Macaca fascicularis: one gene and its partners. The protein of the gene in region 3 interacts with the protein of the main gene of each other region in a biochemical or structural test. Links are inferred from orthologs where the notes say so. Each region holds a gene or a part of one and is shown on either strand. Other genes may lie near its edges. The genes, in order: CS, SNCA, CRYAB and CRYBA1.

What was found.
Region 1: the proteins of CRYAB (region 3) and CS form a complex in vitro, tested with the Homo sapiens proteins (3 studies listed by BioGRID). The link is inferred for Macaca fascicularis from reciprocal best matches to the Homo sapiens genes CRYAB and CS.
Region 2: the proteins of CRYAB (region 3) and SNCA form a complex in vitro, tested with the Homo sapiens proteins (4 studies listed by BioGRID, with this or other methods). The link is inferred for Macaca fascicularis from reciprocal best matches to the Homo sapiens genes CRYAB and SNCA.
Region 4: the proteins of CRYAB (region 3) and CRYBA1 form a complex in vitro, tested with the Homo sapiens proteins (2 studies listed by BioGRID and IntAct, with this or other methods). The link is inferred for Macaca fascicularis from reciprocal best matches to the Homo sapiens genes CRYAB and CRYBA1.

The regions. Positions count from the first base shown.
Region 1 is NC_088385.1:63,075,236-63,078,802, forward strand, and holds part of CS (citrate synthase, mitochondrial), read right to left. Parts: intron 789-3,567; coding exon 589-788; intron 1-588. UniProt on the Homo sapiens protein: Key enzyme of the Krebs tricarboxylic acid cycle which catalyzes the synthesis of citrate from acetyl coenzyme A and oxaloacetate.
Region 2 is NC_088379.1:95,268,969-95,273,172, reverse strand, and holds the end of SNCA (alpha-synuclein), read left to right. Parts: intron 1-430; coding exon 431-514; intron 515-3,081; exon of another isoform or gene 3,082-3,083; coding exon 3,084-3,116; 3' UTR 3,117-3,692; downstream 3,693-4,204. UniProt on the Homo sapiens protein: Neuronal protein that plays several roles in synaptic activity such as regulation of synaptic vesicle trafficking and subsequent neurotransmitter release.
Region 3 is NC_088388.1:110,836,543-110,840,616, forward strand, and holds the start of CRYAB (alpha-crystallin B chain), read right to left. Parts: upstream 2,823-4,074; 5' UTR 2,777-2,822; coding exon 2,576-2,776; intron 1,786-2,575; exon of another isoform or gene 1,717-1,785; intron 1,495-1,716; coding exon 1,372-1,494; intron 38-1,371; coding exon 1-37. Other genes in the region: HSPB2 (heat shock protein beta-2), read left to right, coding at 3,882-3,975. UniProt on the Homo sapiens protein: May contribute to the transparency and refractive index of the lens. Has chaperone-like activity, preventing aggregation of various proteins under a wide range of stress conditions.
Region 4 is NC_088390.1:34,738,861-34,742,185, reverse strand, and holds the end of CRYBA1 (beta-crystallin A3), read right to left. Parts: intron 2,928-3,325; coding exon 2,786-2,927; intron 1,345-2,785; coding exon 1,202-1,344; intron 787-1,201; coding exon 639-786; 3' UTR 507-638; downstream 1-506. UniProt on the Homo sapiens protein: Crystallins are the dominant structural components of the vertebrate eye lens.

The DNA of each region.
Region 1 (3,567 bases), on a different chromosome or scaffold from region 3:
CTGCTAAAAATACAAAAATTAGCTGGGCATCATGGCACACACCTGTAGTCCCAGCTACTTGGGAGGCTGAGGCAGGAGAATCACTTGAACCTGGAAGTGGAGGTTGCAGTGAGCCAAGATTGCGCCACTGCACTCCAACCTGGCGACAGAGCAAGATTCCACCTCAAAAACAACAACAACAACAACAAACATCCTAATCTCATTACCAGCTTTTGTTCACTCATCCACAGCTGGAGAGGTTACTGGCTGATGATGCCTGTATGCTCTGCTCCATGACTCCAACCTAGGTTTAATAGCAATGGCCCGAAGAGGGAGCTCCTGGAAAGCCGAAGGACTATCTAATGTGAGCAGCTAGTACCTTTTCCCAGCCAGAAGCACCATCTTATTCTCAGCATGGTTATGGTAATTTCTTTAGGCCTCTTGACCTTCCTTACTAGACCCTTTTCTTGCCTTGTATCATCCTTGATGCCACATTTCTGTCTTCTTGCTGCCTATCATCTGTTCTCAGAAGATGAGAACATAAAGGAGCTTTTAAAAAAATTTCCCAGTTGAGGCTCCTAGCGGCTGTGGTTGCTGGGTCTAGCTTACCTGTGGATGGTGAGGTACAGGCGCATGAGCTCAGTGAACTGAGACTCAGTATAGCCTAACATGTTGGTGAAATTGTGGGACCAGTCCAGATTAGAGTCAATGGCCCCAATACCGCTGCCTTCTCTGTAGAGATTTCGGTAGATCTTTGCTGCAATACAAGGTAGCTTTGCGATTAAATCCATAGAGTCTTCATAAATCAACTGACAGAAGAGGAGCAAGATGGAGAAAAAAAAAGGAATTATCAGCAAAGAAGAATTAGACAGGGATATTGTCTGTCCTCCATGAATTGGGGCTATTTGGGGTGATGGTCAGTTATATGATGGGTTGTTATATATTGAGTATGTCTGAAAGTAGAGAAAAATCATAACCATTTAATTGAATAACTATTATGACCCAGGCACTAAGTGATTTGTAATACTATCTAGTGTACACTAAAACATTATTCCCAATGCTTACTACTACAAAGTATATAATGACTGCCGTTTTAAAGATGAGCAAACTAAGGCTCATAGTATTAGGTTAAATGCCAAAGTCAGGTTTGAACTCTGATATGGTTTTTTGAGATGGAGTTTCACTCGTTACCCGGGTTGGAGTGCAATGGTGCAATCTTAGCTCACTGCAACCTCCACCTCCCAAGTTCAAGTGATTCTCCTGCCTCAGCCTCCCAAGTAGCTGGGATTACAGGCATGTGCCACCACGCCCAGCTAATTTTGTATTTTTAGTAGAGACGGGGTTTCTCCATGTTGGTTAGCCTAGTCTAGAAACTCCTGAACTCAGGTGATCTGCCTCCCTTGGCCTCCCAAAGTGCTCGGATTACAGGTGTGAGCCACCATGCCTGGCCCTCTGATATGTTTAATCATGATCTTTTTCACTACACCATGACTTTACATTCACTGTGTTAAGACACTAGGTTTTATAGCCAGGTATGGTGGCTCACGCCTATAATGCCAGCACTTTGGAAGCCTGAGGCTCGCAGATCACTTAAGGTCAGGAGTTCAAGACCAGCTTGGCCAACATGGTGAAACCCTGTCTCTTCTAAAAATACAAAACATGAGACAGGCATGGTACGGGCAGGCACCTATAATCCAGCTACTCCAGAGACTGAGGCAGGAAAATTGCTTGAACCCGGGAGGTGGAAGTTGTAGTGAGCCGAGATCGCGCCACTGTACTTCAGCCTGGACCACAGAGCGAGACTGTCTCAAAAAAAAAAAAAAAAAAAAAAAAGGCCAGGCACGGTGGCTTACGCCTGTAATCCCAGCACTTTGGGAGGCCAAGGCGAGCAGATTACGAGGTCAGGAGATCGAGACCATCCTGGCTAACACGGTGAAACCCCGTCTCTACTAAAAATACAAAAAATTAGCCGGGTGTGTTGGCAGGTGCCTGCAGTCCCAGCTACTCGGGAGGCTGAGCCAGGAGAATGGCCTGAACCTGGGAGGTGGAGCTTGCAGTGAGCAGAGATCGTGCCACTGCACTCCAGCCTGGGTGACAGAGCGAGACTCCATCTCAAAAGAAACAAAACAAAACAAAACAAAAAACCACTAGGTTTTAATAATGAATTCTATATTCCATCTTTCAAAGAAAATTCACTGTATATGCCAAGGATCAAACAGTGATATTCAATTGTTATTTAATAACAAAGGCTTCCTTTTATTTTTTTTGGAGATGGAGTCTTGCTCTATCGCCCACGCTGGAGTGCAGTGGTGTGATCCTGGCTCACCACAACCTCCACTTCGCGGGTTCAAGCGATTCTCCTGCCTCAGCCTCCTGAGTAGCTGCGATTACAGGATGTGCCACTATGCCCGGCTTAATTTTGCATTTTTAGTAGAGGGGGGTTTCACCATGTTGGTCAGGCTAGTCTCACACTCCTGACCTCAGGTGATCCGCCCGCCTTGGCCGCTCAAAGTTCTGGGATTACAGGCGCGAGCCACCGCGCCCGGTGAGGCTTCCATTCTTTAAGCACTTACTATGCAACAGGTACTGTGCTAGTTATATTATTTGCAGTATTACCTTTTCTGTTCTTACAATAATCCTGTAAGGTTACATATACCTCTTTTTATAGATGAGGAAATCGGGGCTTAGCTAAGTTACCTTGTACAAGGTCACCCATGTAGCCAAGAAGCATTACCTAGCTTACATTATTAACTCATATCACATTTAGTTTTTGAGACGGAGTCCTGCCCTGTCGCCCACGCTGGAGTCCTATGGCACGATCTCAGCTCACTGTAACCTTCACCTCCTGGGTTCAAGCAATTCTTGTGCCTTGGCCTTCTGAGTAGCTGGGATTACAGGTGTGCACCACCATGCCTGGCTAATTTTTTGTATCTTTAGTAGAGACAGGGTTTCACCATATTGGTGAGGCTGGTCTCGATCTCCTGACCTCAGGTGATCCACCGCACCCGGCCCATGCCACTTTTTAAAAAGTTGATAAACAGGCCAAGCATGGTGGCTCACGCCTGTAATCCCAGAACTTTGGGAGGCTGAGGCGTGCGGATCACGAGGTCAACAGATCGAGATCATCCTGGCCAATAAGGCAAAACCCTGTGTCTACTAAAAATACAAAAATTAGCTGGGCGTGGTGGTGTGCACCTGTAGTCCTAGCTACTCAGGAGGCCAAGGCAGGAAAATTGCTTGAACCCAGGAGGCGGAGGTTGCAGTATGCTGAGGTCATGCCACTGCACTGCAGCCTGAACGACAGAGTGAGACTCTGTCTCAAAAAAAAAAGAAGTTGGTAAATAAAAAGCGTATATTTTTGGTTTGTTTTATTTTGAGACAAAGTATTTTGAGACAGAGTCTCGCTCTATCACCCAGGCTGGAGTGCAGTGGTGCTATGTTGGCTCACTGCAACCTCTGCCTCCCAGGTTCAAGCGATTCTCCCACCTCAGCTTCCCGAGTAGTTGGGATTACAGGTGTGCACCACCACGCCCAGCTAATTTTTGTATTTTTTTGTAGAGATGGGGTTTCGCCATGTTGGCCAGGCTG
Region 2 (4,204 bases), on a different chromosome or scaffold from region 3:
AAATGATCCACCTGCCTCAGCCTCCCAAAGTGCTGAAATCACAGGAGTGAACCATAGCACCCAGCAATAATTTTTAACTCTTCATTATTCATTGAACATTTAGTTAACAATTGTAAAAATGTTGTTTCCTGCTGTCATTGATCTTGTGAAGAATATTTTTGGACTATAGCTGTGGATTATTTCCTAAATAGTGAATTACTTGAGCAAAAACTTTACATACTTTGAGGGCTGGTAACCCATGTTGCCGCAATGTTTCCCCAAAGGCATTGCAGAGTTTAGAATGCCAGTACTTATATTAAAGTGTGCCGTTTTCAACATCCCTGGCCAACATCCCTATATGTAAGATTTTTCCAAAACATGGTTCTGATTTTTAAAAGTGAAAAATGCTACTTCATCATGTTCTTTTTGTGCTTCTCACTTTAAATATTAGAATGAAGAAGGAGCCCCACAGGAAGGAATTCTACAAGATATGCCTGTGGATCCTGACAATGAGGCTTATGAAATGCCTTCTGAGGTAGGAGTCCAAGCTGAATCTTTCTAACAGTACCAACAACCTGTCATTGTCATATTTCTCTTGCTTAGTGAGAATCATTTGCTCTCTACATGCTCATTACGTGGACAACTTTCAAGCTAGGAATGGTTTTTACATTTTTAAAGGGTCCAAAAAAAAAGAGGAGGAGGAGGAAGAGAGGATGTAACACAAATTCTAAGTCCACATAGCTTAAAATACTACTTGACCCTTTACAGGAAAAGTTTACTAACTCCTGCATTAGAGAATATATTTTTAGAAACTATACATTCTAAAATAAGTTTCTAAATGGAAAGTTAGGGAAATCAACGGAATGCCAAAGGAAGGTAATTATTTTTTGCCATACATTTCCAGTGGGATGATTGCATAGTAAAATAAAAGTTACCCACACAAGTTATAGAATGAAAAGATAAATGTATGATTTGCAACAATTGATATATTCCAGTATAACATTTTAAACAACGTATGATTGTTAATTTTATTTTTATTGAAAACAAAAGTATTTTAATAGAAAATGTATCAAAAGGGAAATTAGAAAATACTGTTAGATGAAAAAAACTGACCCAAGAAGAAATAGTAAATCTGAATAGATTTGTATAGATTTGTAACACAGTGAAGTGATTAAATGATTAAATTAGTAAAAAAAAAAAAAAAAAAAAAAAAAAAAAAAAAAAACAAAAAAAACACCTGCATGCAAAGAAAATCCCAGGCCGAGACAGCATCACTGGTAAGTTCTACCAAACATTTAAGGAAGAACTAATACTAATTAGTTAACACCAATTAATATCTCTTACACAACATAGGAGTCATTTAGACATTTCCCAACTAATTCCGTGAGACCAATATTACCCTGATAATCAAAACCAAACAAAGATATCACAAGAAAAGAAACTGTATGATGGTTCCATTAAAAATTGAGTTCAAATATGTTGTGGTTAGGTTATGTATTATTCCTCATGGCATTATTAAAAGGCATATCAAGGATGGGTGCAGCGGCTCACACCTGTAATCCCAGCACTTTGTGAGCCAAAGTGGCCAGGTTACTTGAGGCCAGGAGTTCAAGACCAGTCTGGCCAACATGGTGAAACCCCATCTCTACTAAAAATACAAAAATTAGCCAGGCATGGTGGAACATGCTTATAGTTCCAGCTACTTGGGAGGCTGAGGCACAAGAGTTGCTTGAACCCAGGAGGCAGAGGTTGCAGTGAGCTGAGATGGCACCCCTGAACTCCAATCTAGGCAACAGGGCAAGACTGTCACTCACACACACACACACACACACACACACACACACAGCATATTAATAATAATTCAATTTATAGAAATTGAGATTAAATTGTTTGCCTAATAAGAATTTCCAATATTTTGGGGTCTTTTATGCAAGACACAGTACCAAACACTATAGAAAACTATAGTGTAATTGACATTACCAGGATATAAGGAGTTTACAGTCTGGTAGGTTTGATGAAAAAAATAGAAATTCATTCATTCATTTCTTCATTATGATTCCTTCCTTTAACAAACATTATTGATTGCCTTCTATGTACCAGGCATCACAGGAGCAAAGATATACAAGATATACTAAAAAGTATAACATTTTAAAGGATCTGTTTCAATCAATCAGGAGTAGTTTTATTGAGGAGGTAATGTTGATCTGGGTGGGAAAAGGAAAGAGATATGGTAGGGCAAAACAAACAGAGGACGTTCTGGCACAAGGGAATATCAGAAGCAAAGGCATATGTGTCTGAGAATGCAAATGGATATGTCTGAGAACAGTAAATAATTATGACTCAAGCTTAGGAACAAGGAAAATGGTGATAGATTGAACCTGCAGCTATGGGTCAAAGACAAATTATAGAGTATTAGGACAATCTTGTCATTTAAGTTTGTGTTCTATTCAGAAAACAACTTCAGTTATTGAAGATATGCTTATTTGTTTGTTTTTAAGCAGAATCCTGATATTATTAAAGTTGCTCTTTAGGAGGAATAATCTGACCCCTTTAATTACATCATTAATATTTGTATTGTGGATGCTTTCCAGATATTGTATGGAGAGCTTGGGGTCTGAAATACAACTAATAATTGAAGCCATAGATGAAGATGAAATTTTCAAGTGGGAGAGCGAAAGTAGGGAAAATGTACCTCGCCTTCAAACGTCTTAATTTCCTTCTGAGAATTAGAGCGTCTTAGCCCTGGAAAAGGCTTTATAGACCGCTTGATTTTATTCTCACATTTTACAGGTGAAGAAACTGAGAATCAGCCAGTCCAACTTATTTGTCCTACCTGACTAGGTATATGATCATTAAATGGTACATCTGGATTAGAACCTAGATATTTTAACTGATTACTACCACAATTCACATCTATATCGGACAGGAAATACACAACTATTAAAAATAAGATAATGTATATTGCAGAATATTTGCAAAAACATTGAGTGTAAATTTTAATGTAAGTGATGAGCCATTTCCTATCTCATTGGCTGTCAGTGCTGATGCATGATTGAAACTTACACTAACAGTGCGTGCTGTCTTTTTTATTTTTCTAATATTAGGAAGGGTATCAAGACTACGAACCTGAAGCCTAAGAAATATCTTTGCTCCCAGTTTCTTGAGATCTGCTGACAGACGTTCCATCTTGTACAAGTGCTCAGTTCCAATGTGCCCAGTCATGACATTTCTCAAAGTTTTTACAGTGTATTTTGAAGTCTTCCATCAGCAGTGATTGAAGTATCTGTACCTGCCCCCATTCAGCATTTCGGTGCTTCCCTTTCACTGAAGTGAATACATGGTAGCAGGGTCTTTGTGTGCTGTGGATTTTGTGGCTTCAATCTATGATGTTAAAACAATTTAAAAACACCTAAGTGACTACCACTTATTTCTAAATCCTCACTATTTTTTTGTTGCTGTTGTTCAGAAGTTGTTAGTGATTTGCTATCGTATATTATAAGATTTTTAGGTGTCTTTTAATGATACTGTCTAAGAATAATGATGTATTGTGAAATTTGTTAATATATATAATACTTAAAAATATGTGAGCATGAAACTATGCACCTATAAATACTAACTATGAAATTTTACCGTTTTGTGATGTGTTTTATTAACTTGTGTTTGTATATAAATGGTGAGAATTAAAATAAAATGTCGTCTCATTGCAAACAAAATTTTATTTTTATCCCATCTCACTTTAATAATAAAAATCTTGCTTATAAGCAACATGCATTGAGAACTGACACAATGGACATAAAGTTATTAATAGGCATTTGAAGAAGGAGGAATTTTAGAAGAGGTAGAGAAAATGAACATTAACCCTACACTGGGAATTCCCTGAAGCAGCACTGCCAGAGGTGTGTTTTGTGGTGCCTTAAGTGGCTGTGATTAAAAAAAAAAAAAGTGGGCTCCAGGGAACGAAGCAGTGTAAAAGATGATTTTGACTACATCCTCCTTAGAGATCCATGAGACACTTTAGCACATATTAGCACATTCAAGGCTCTGAGACAATGTGGTTAACTTAGTTTAACTCAGCAGTCCCCACTAAAAAAAAAAAAAATCATCAAAAATTCTCTCTCTCTATTCCTTTTTCTCTCGCTCCCCTTTTTTCCAGGAAATGCCTTTAAACACCTTTGGGAACTATCAGGATCACCTTAAAGAAGATCAGTTCTCCAGACTGATAAAA
Region 3 (4,074 bases):
TCCTGTGGAACTCCCTGGAGATGAAACCATGTTCATCCTAACCCAAAAGAATGAGGAAAGAGGCAGAGAGATAAGAATATGAACTACTATCACCTGCCCAGAACTCAGGCATCCTGATTTCCCCTTAGGTGAGACCAAATGCCATGACAACATAGGAAAAATAAACAGTGCTTTGTTTCAGGGTTGTGGCTAAGATGAAGTTACCTAGGTAGTCACTCCTACCAGTGAGAATCTGAGAAGTCTGAAACAGTACAACACTTCATTGTTTTTCAAACCCTGAGGCATAGATATGTTTAGGAGTATTTCCCAAAGGTTTAGATAATGTTGACTGGGCCTACAGAATTTGGAATCTCATTTAGAATCTGAGTCCCTGAGGAAGCCCTGAAATTGTCCTGACTCTTCAGGAATGTCCCAGAAGGTTCCAGAACAATAGGACTGCTGCTGGGGGAAAAAAAAAAAAAAGACTCCATCCAAGGAGACTATGACCCAAACCTAAATCATATGAGCAAAATTGAAACAGCCTGAGGACATTACTAAGGACAAACTGTACTGGTTGACGCACAGGTTCTGAGCTATCGCTGAGCTATCGTTAATTGGTGAGAAGGAATTTTAAAGCCCTCTTACAAAGTCATGAAAAGCTGTTCCATTCGTCAGAATTCCCCCAAAGAGTAGATGACCTTAACCCGTATGCCTGCTGACTCTCAAGCATGTAGCCAAACAGGCTCTCATTAACTGATTTCCGCATGGGCTATAGGGGATTAAAGACTGAGCACAGCTCTGAAATTTAGACAAACCAAGTAGTTCAGCATTAAGATGGGCTAAAGAAGAGACATGGATTCTTGCACAGCTAACAGAGAATTCACAACTCAAGTGCCTTTAGGGTACCTGTAGTTAATGTAATTATGCAAAGCAACTAGGTGTCTGACAGCCCTATACCTAAATCAGTGGTCCTCAACCTTGACTGTAGATTAGAATTACCTTAAAAAATGTTGATGCCCTGGGTCCCACCCCTAAAAATTCTGATTTAATTGGTCTGGAGTATGCCTGAGCATTAGGTTTTTTGAAAGTTCCCCTGGTGATTCTAATGTGGCCAAGATTCAGAACCTCTGGCTAAGATGGGGCATCAACATCCCATCATCCCATCTAAGGCGATCAAATCAAACAAAGACCACATCTCTGGCCATAACAACAGTAACAACAGCAATAGGTCTATCCCTAACTTAGTCTTCTAGACATTGATTTGTAACCCCTGATCTAGACTATTATAGCTTGGGACTGGAATGTAGCCAGCCTCCAAAGCTGATAGCACTACCTGGACTATTACAGTATACACTGAATGAATGAGCAGAAAACAAAAACCAAGCTACATACCTGGCGCTCTTCATGTTTGCCATGCACCTCAATCACATCTCCCAACACCTTAACTTTGAGTTCCTCTGGGGAGAAGTGCTTCACATCCAGGTTGACAGAGAACCTGTCCTTCTCCAGGCGCATCTAGAAATAGCAAGGTAAGGGAATGGGACGGGAGAAAGATGGCGAAAGTACTCATTATACTGGTGTTGTCTTATTCTGCAGAGTTGCTTTCTGTCCAGGTAATTCATCCTTCTCTTTTCTGCTTTAAAATATCCCCTTTTTAAATAAACATGGCTCTCTGCTTCAGGGAGCCACCACAGTGATACCTAAGGCTCATGGTGATCCGACCCAAACTTTATTTACAGGGACAGAGAAGAAGACAGATCACCCAGGGGACCAGTCGCAAGGATGGGTGCAGGCCTGGCATCTGCTGCCTCTCTGGCTCCGATGCCTGGCTTTGTGGTTTGTCTGTGAGACAAAGGCCTCTTCTTCTGGCTCAGGTCTCTTTGCCAGTTTTCCACCCACCCAATCTGGAATGTTCTGCTGGTCCTGCTTGTCCTTCCAAAGCCCTTGCCCACTCATCTCCTGTTTACTCACACTCGAATATTTTTAAACCAGAGCGTTATCTGTGACAGCTTCTGTCAACCTTATATGTTCACCCTGTTCTCTCACCCTCTTAGGACGAGTGGGGGTCCCTATATTGTTTCCTCATAAGGCTTGGTTGGACCCAGGCCAATGCCCTGTCACAGCCCTGAGAAACCCAGAAAATCACAGAAGAGGGAATAAAAAGGCAGAAAATGCCCATGAGGGTGAACAGCTCAGGCAGGGTGAGGCAGGGCTCTCTCCTGGCTCTGACACCTGAGATGGTAAAATTGGTCAAGAGTCCATGGTGTTAGAAGAGATGAGCAAAGGAGTTTGAAGGCAGCTCTTTCCCTGCAGATTGTTATGAACCAAACCAGAAAGGGGTACCCTGCAGAGAAGTTAGGGGATGGAGGATGAACTTGACAGTGCATGAAAAAAATGTAATAAATGGGATACAGAGGACCATCAAGTAGAAACAGGTGACGGGGGAGGGAGGAACTAGCAACCTCCTCATTTTTCTTCACATTTGGATACACATGTGCCTAAAATGGTTTAGGCAGGAAAGGAGAGGAAAATGGATGGAGAAGTTTACAGGAGGTTCCAGTAAGGACTCTCCCATTCTAGCAGTGGGGAGACTCACCTCTGAGAGTCCAGTGTCAAACCAGCTGGGTGCCCGCAGGAAGGAGGGTGGCCGAAGGTAGAAGGGGCTCAGGGAAGTAGACGTCGGGAAAAGATCAGACTCCAACAGGTGCTCTCCAAAGAACTGGTCAAAGAGGCGGCTGGGGGAGTGGAAAGGAAAGAAGGGGCGGCGGATCCAGGGGTGGTGGATGGCGATGTCCATGGTGGCTAGGTGAGTGTGGGGGGTCAGCTGGCTGGTCAGCTCCTTCAGCTGCAGCTACAGCCAGCCCCTTATATATGCAGTCTTGTGAAGCTTCTGGAATGGTGATGTCAGGGGTTTTATTATCCTAGCTCACCGCCGGTTCATGGAGACTTGTGATCGGGGATTTGGCAGTGTGACACATACCCAGTACTCACTGAGCTAAGAAAAGAGAAACACAAACACGTCTGAGCCGGCCAGTGACTTGTCATGGTCTTGTTTCACTAGCTTTCTGTACACACCCAGTGGCACCCACCCCCACCCCAGTTCTCTGAAGCTGGTACAGAGTCAGGAATCCCAAGCAGGCACGCGGGTGGGTGGAGGGGCAGGCGGTGGAGTGTGCCCCTCCTCCTCCTCCTCTTCAGTCCTGAATGCCAGGGGAATCAGGCCAGCAACTATCTTGGGCCTGGGCAGGGACTGGAATCTTCCTAGGCTGGGCCCCAGGGACATTAACTCTTTGTGAGTCCTTGGAAGAGAGCAGTGATGGTCAACATGCGGGTACCAGCCATCTGCCTCCTGCCCTGGGTTGACCTGGGTTTAGGAGAGGACTCCGACATCTGGGCAGAAAGACCCCACTCCCTGAAAAAAAGAGCAGAAAGATTTCTTGCATCTTTCATCCTATGTGGCTCTCAGAACATTAAATCCAGGAGTGCTTTAGGAATTGGGTGCACAGTGCCGGCCTCCAAGGAGGAGAAAATGAGGTGTGGAAACGTGCAAACCGTTTGTGAGGGTTTCAGCGAGGCCTCTTCATGCCCCAGGCACCACCAGCTCCCCCTTCTCAGCTCGTTCCTAACCAGGACCCTCAGCTGTCCTCTCAGGCCCCCTGCGACAGCTGAAGAGTGTGCGGGGGAGGGGACTAGGGGTCCAGGCGGCGCTGGTCACACCCTCGTTGCTCTCACTCAGGGCCCCCACTCCCCGCCCCTCCCCCCCAGAGGCTCGGCACTATTTTGGGTGGTGTCGACCCCGCCCCCACCTCCTATCGAGCCCTGGCTCTCCGGGCAGCTGGAGGGGTCGCGCTGCGCCTGTTGGGGCTGCACCTCGGACCAGGGCTCCCGCTGCATCTGCAGCCATGTCGGGCCGCTCAGTGCCACATGCCCACCCAGCCACCGCTGAGTACGAATTTGCCAACCCGAGCCGCCTGGGTGAGCAGCGCTTCGGAGAAGGTATGGCACAGATGCCACCCCCTTGCCTCCCACCCCCACCCCCTGAAATTCTGGGCTGACCTCCCAACGTTACTGGCCTCCACCCCACTCTGGGCTTAA
Region 4 (3,325 bases), on a different chromosome or scaffold from region 3:
CCCAACTACTCAGGAGGTTGAGGCAGGAGGATCACTTGAGCCCAGGAGATCGACACTGTAGTTAAGCCAGATCGCACCACTGCACTCCAGCCTGGGTGACAGACCCTGTCTCAACAACAAAAATTCTCATCCACAGGCCGGGCGTTGGTGGCTCATGCCTGTAATCTCAGCACTTTGGGAGGCCGAGGCGGGAGAATCACCTGAGGTCGGGAGTTCGAGACCAGCCTGACCAACATAGAGAAACCCCATCTCCACTAAAAATACAGTAATTAGCTGGGTGTGGTGGTGCATGCCTGTAATCCCAGCTACTCGGGAGGCTGAGACAGAATCTCTTGAATCCGGGAGGCGGAGGTTGTGGTGAGCCGAGATAGCGCCATTGCACTCCAGCCTGGGCAACAAGAGTGAAACTCCACCTCAGAAAAAAAAAATTCTCATCCACATAGGTGTGATTTATGTGAAGCATGGTAGTTAATTCAGTCTACAAAGTTTTGTTTTGTTTTGTTTTTAATGATGTTTATTGTGGATTTCAGCAGCTAACATTTGAAAGCAATGTCTGTGAGCAGAACATAAAACTCATTCTAGAGTGCTTAGCAAGGTCTCATGCTTGAGGAATTATCGTACTTGGAGCTTTTAATCAGCTACTGTTGGATTCGGCGAATCGATTGGATCTGGGAAGTCTGGGCATGAGATCCCCACTCTCTCCAATGTTTATAGTCTCCTCCGTGATGGTCACATTCCAAGATATACTGATACCCACGATATCCAGGATATTGGTAGCAAACCCAGCTGGGAAATTCAAAGTACATTTCATTATTAAAACTAATTAGGAATCTGGTTAACACCCCAAAATCTGAGCCTCTTTCCTCAACTTAATGGTATGGGATGCTTTTGGTCTTAGAAAAATATAGCTATCCTAAATGTGTCAGGCACTATTTGCAAGCATAATACAGCTACAGCTAGTTGATTAGCCTTAATCATCAAAAGAGGTATAAGTGAACATAAATTCTTCCATAGAGGCATGTCTGGGGGAGATAAATCTGCAACCTTAAGTGGTAGTTGGTATAAAGAACTTGTGATTCAAAATTATGTATAACTAGAATGTGACATCTATACCAATACATATGAAATCTGATTAAAACAACCATTGATGCAACTTCAGGAATTACTTTGAAGTGTATTCCAACCCTGTTTTTGTACTTACGCCCCATTTTGTATCTTCATGGAGCCGACTTCGTTGTTGGGCCAACCCATGGCTTGCAAGGAGGGGTAGTCATCAGAGATCTCCCACTGGCGTCCAATAAAGTTTTCCTTCTCAAAGATGGTCATCTTAGACTCCTTATGATTCTGTAATTCAGAAATTGTTTTAAAATGTTCAGTACTGGTGTATGGCTATCATTCATGTTTTTCAAAATTGAAACACTTTTTTGGATTACACAAGGAAGCATGTGATAATTTATTTTAAAAAGATTAAGGCAACAGATATGTGAGAAAAAAGTTACCCATAATTTTGTTTATTCCAATTTAAATACCATAACATTTGGAATGTACAAATAACTGATACACTATTTTGGAACAATGAAGAGGATTTGACAGTGGGAAAAAGTACTAACAAAATGCAGCCAACCAAGGGATGAATACTCACTAATGTGAAAAAAGATCTCACAAATTAATACAAAAAGTAAGCCCAAATATGTATGTGTGCGCTTGCGTGTGTATGTGTGTTGTTGGAAATAACCTGTATGTCCAGTAGGGGACATGAATACTACACAAGCATTAAAAAGGCAGAGACCAACCTGTATGAACTTCAAAAATGGACAAAACTGTTTGATGATAGAAAGTGGTAGGGGAGCAACTGAGTGGAAAGGGACACCAGGGAACTATGATGGAATGTTCTTTATATGGTTAGAGTGTTGGTTACATGGATCTATATATTTTCAAAACTCATGAGAATATGCACTTAGGATCTGTGCATTTTACTGTAGGTCAGTTATAACTTAGGGTGGAAAAATGAAATGTTTTTTTAAAAGTGAGATTGAAATAATTTCCAGATAGGGAACTATTTGTTTGGATTAGAGCTATTTCGGTTAACTTCTCCATCAGTTGAATTTTGGCAAGACTTTGAACCAAGGTGAGATTATTAACCAAAATCACGAGAAACTCACATATAGACTGAATATTTGGAAAGGTTCTAGCCCAACCTAACTCCTAATACAGGGATTATTTTTCAGCACACCCCTGAAGATCATCCTGCTTTCTGCTTGAACTCTTTCCAAAAAAGACCAGAAACATCCCAGCCTGATGCATTATTGAGTAATACTTAAGTGTTCAGAACAAGAAGATGATTATCAATGAATGTAGATAGATAATGGAAGACTTGCCTATTTTTTAGTCATTCCCACTTACCGAAAGGTTACTTCAGCATTTCCCTGTTTCTGCGGTAAAATGTTGCACAGATTGAAATTTAACTGGCCAAGGATTTGCTTTTTACTACAGGGTAAAGACATTCACTCATTTACTAGTGTTTCACAAGTTTATTGGGCTCTTGAGTATCCACTTATTGCCACCTGTAAGACCCTTAGTTTTAGCTTAAGGGAAATACCACCTGGTGGAGAAAAATCAAATAGCAGGCTTAGAGGAGAAAGTGATGTTTTCTCTTTTTTTTTGCTTTTGTCTTTTTTCCTGCCACATTCAGCATAACTGATGAGAAATAGCATGAACGTCAGTCTGTCCACACCCTCTTGTCCCATCCCTCATATGCACAGAAGTGGAAATTTCAGAGACTCACAGCTGAACAGATGGGGCGGAAGGACATGAGACGCTCAATGTGGTAGGCATTACTCCCACTCCAGGCATCCCAGCGAGGGTATTCTCCTCTCTCCAGGATAAACTGTTGCCCACAGAAGCTGGTATGCTCATAACCAATCCAGCTGCCAAAGACATGTAGTGTTTGTTCATGGTGTTCAAAGCCTATATGGCCTTGGGGAGAAGGCATCTTTCGTTTTAGATAAGTTAATAGTGGGGTAAAATATCAAGCCAATCCCAGTAGAGCTGTACAAAGTAATTTATCACAAGAGGTGAGGAATGAGTTGACAGGTATACTAAGCAGGTTTATGAATGTAATAATTGTTTTGGGATTATCACTGAAAAGGTCTGTCTACGTCACTGGTCTGAGTGAAGTATATTAGCAAAGCCAATCTAAAATTGTATTTCCGGGCTGGGTGTGGTGGCTCACGCCTGTAGTCTCAACACTTCAGGAGGCCAAGGCAAGCAGATCGCTTGAGCCCATGAGTTGGAGACCAGCCTGGGAAACATGGCAAAACCCCGT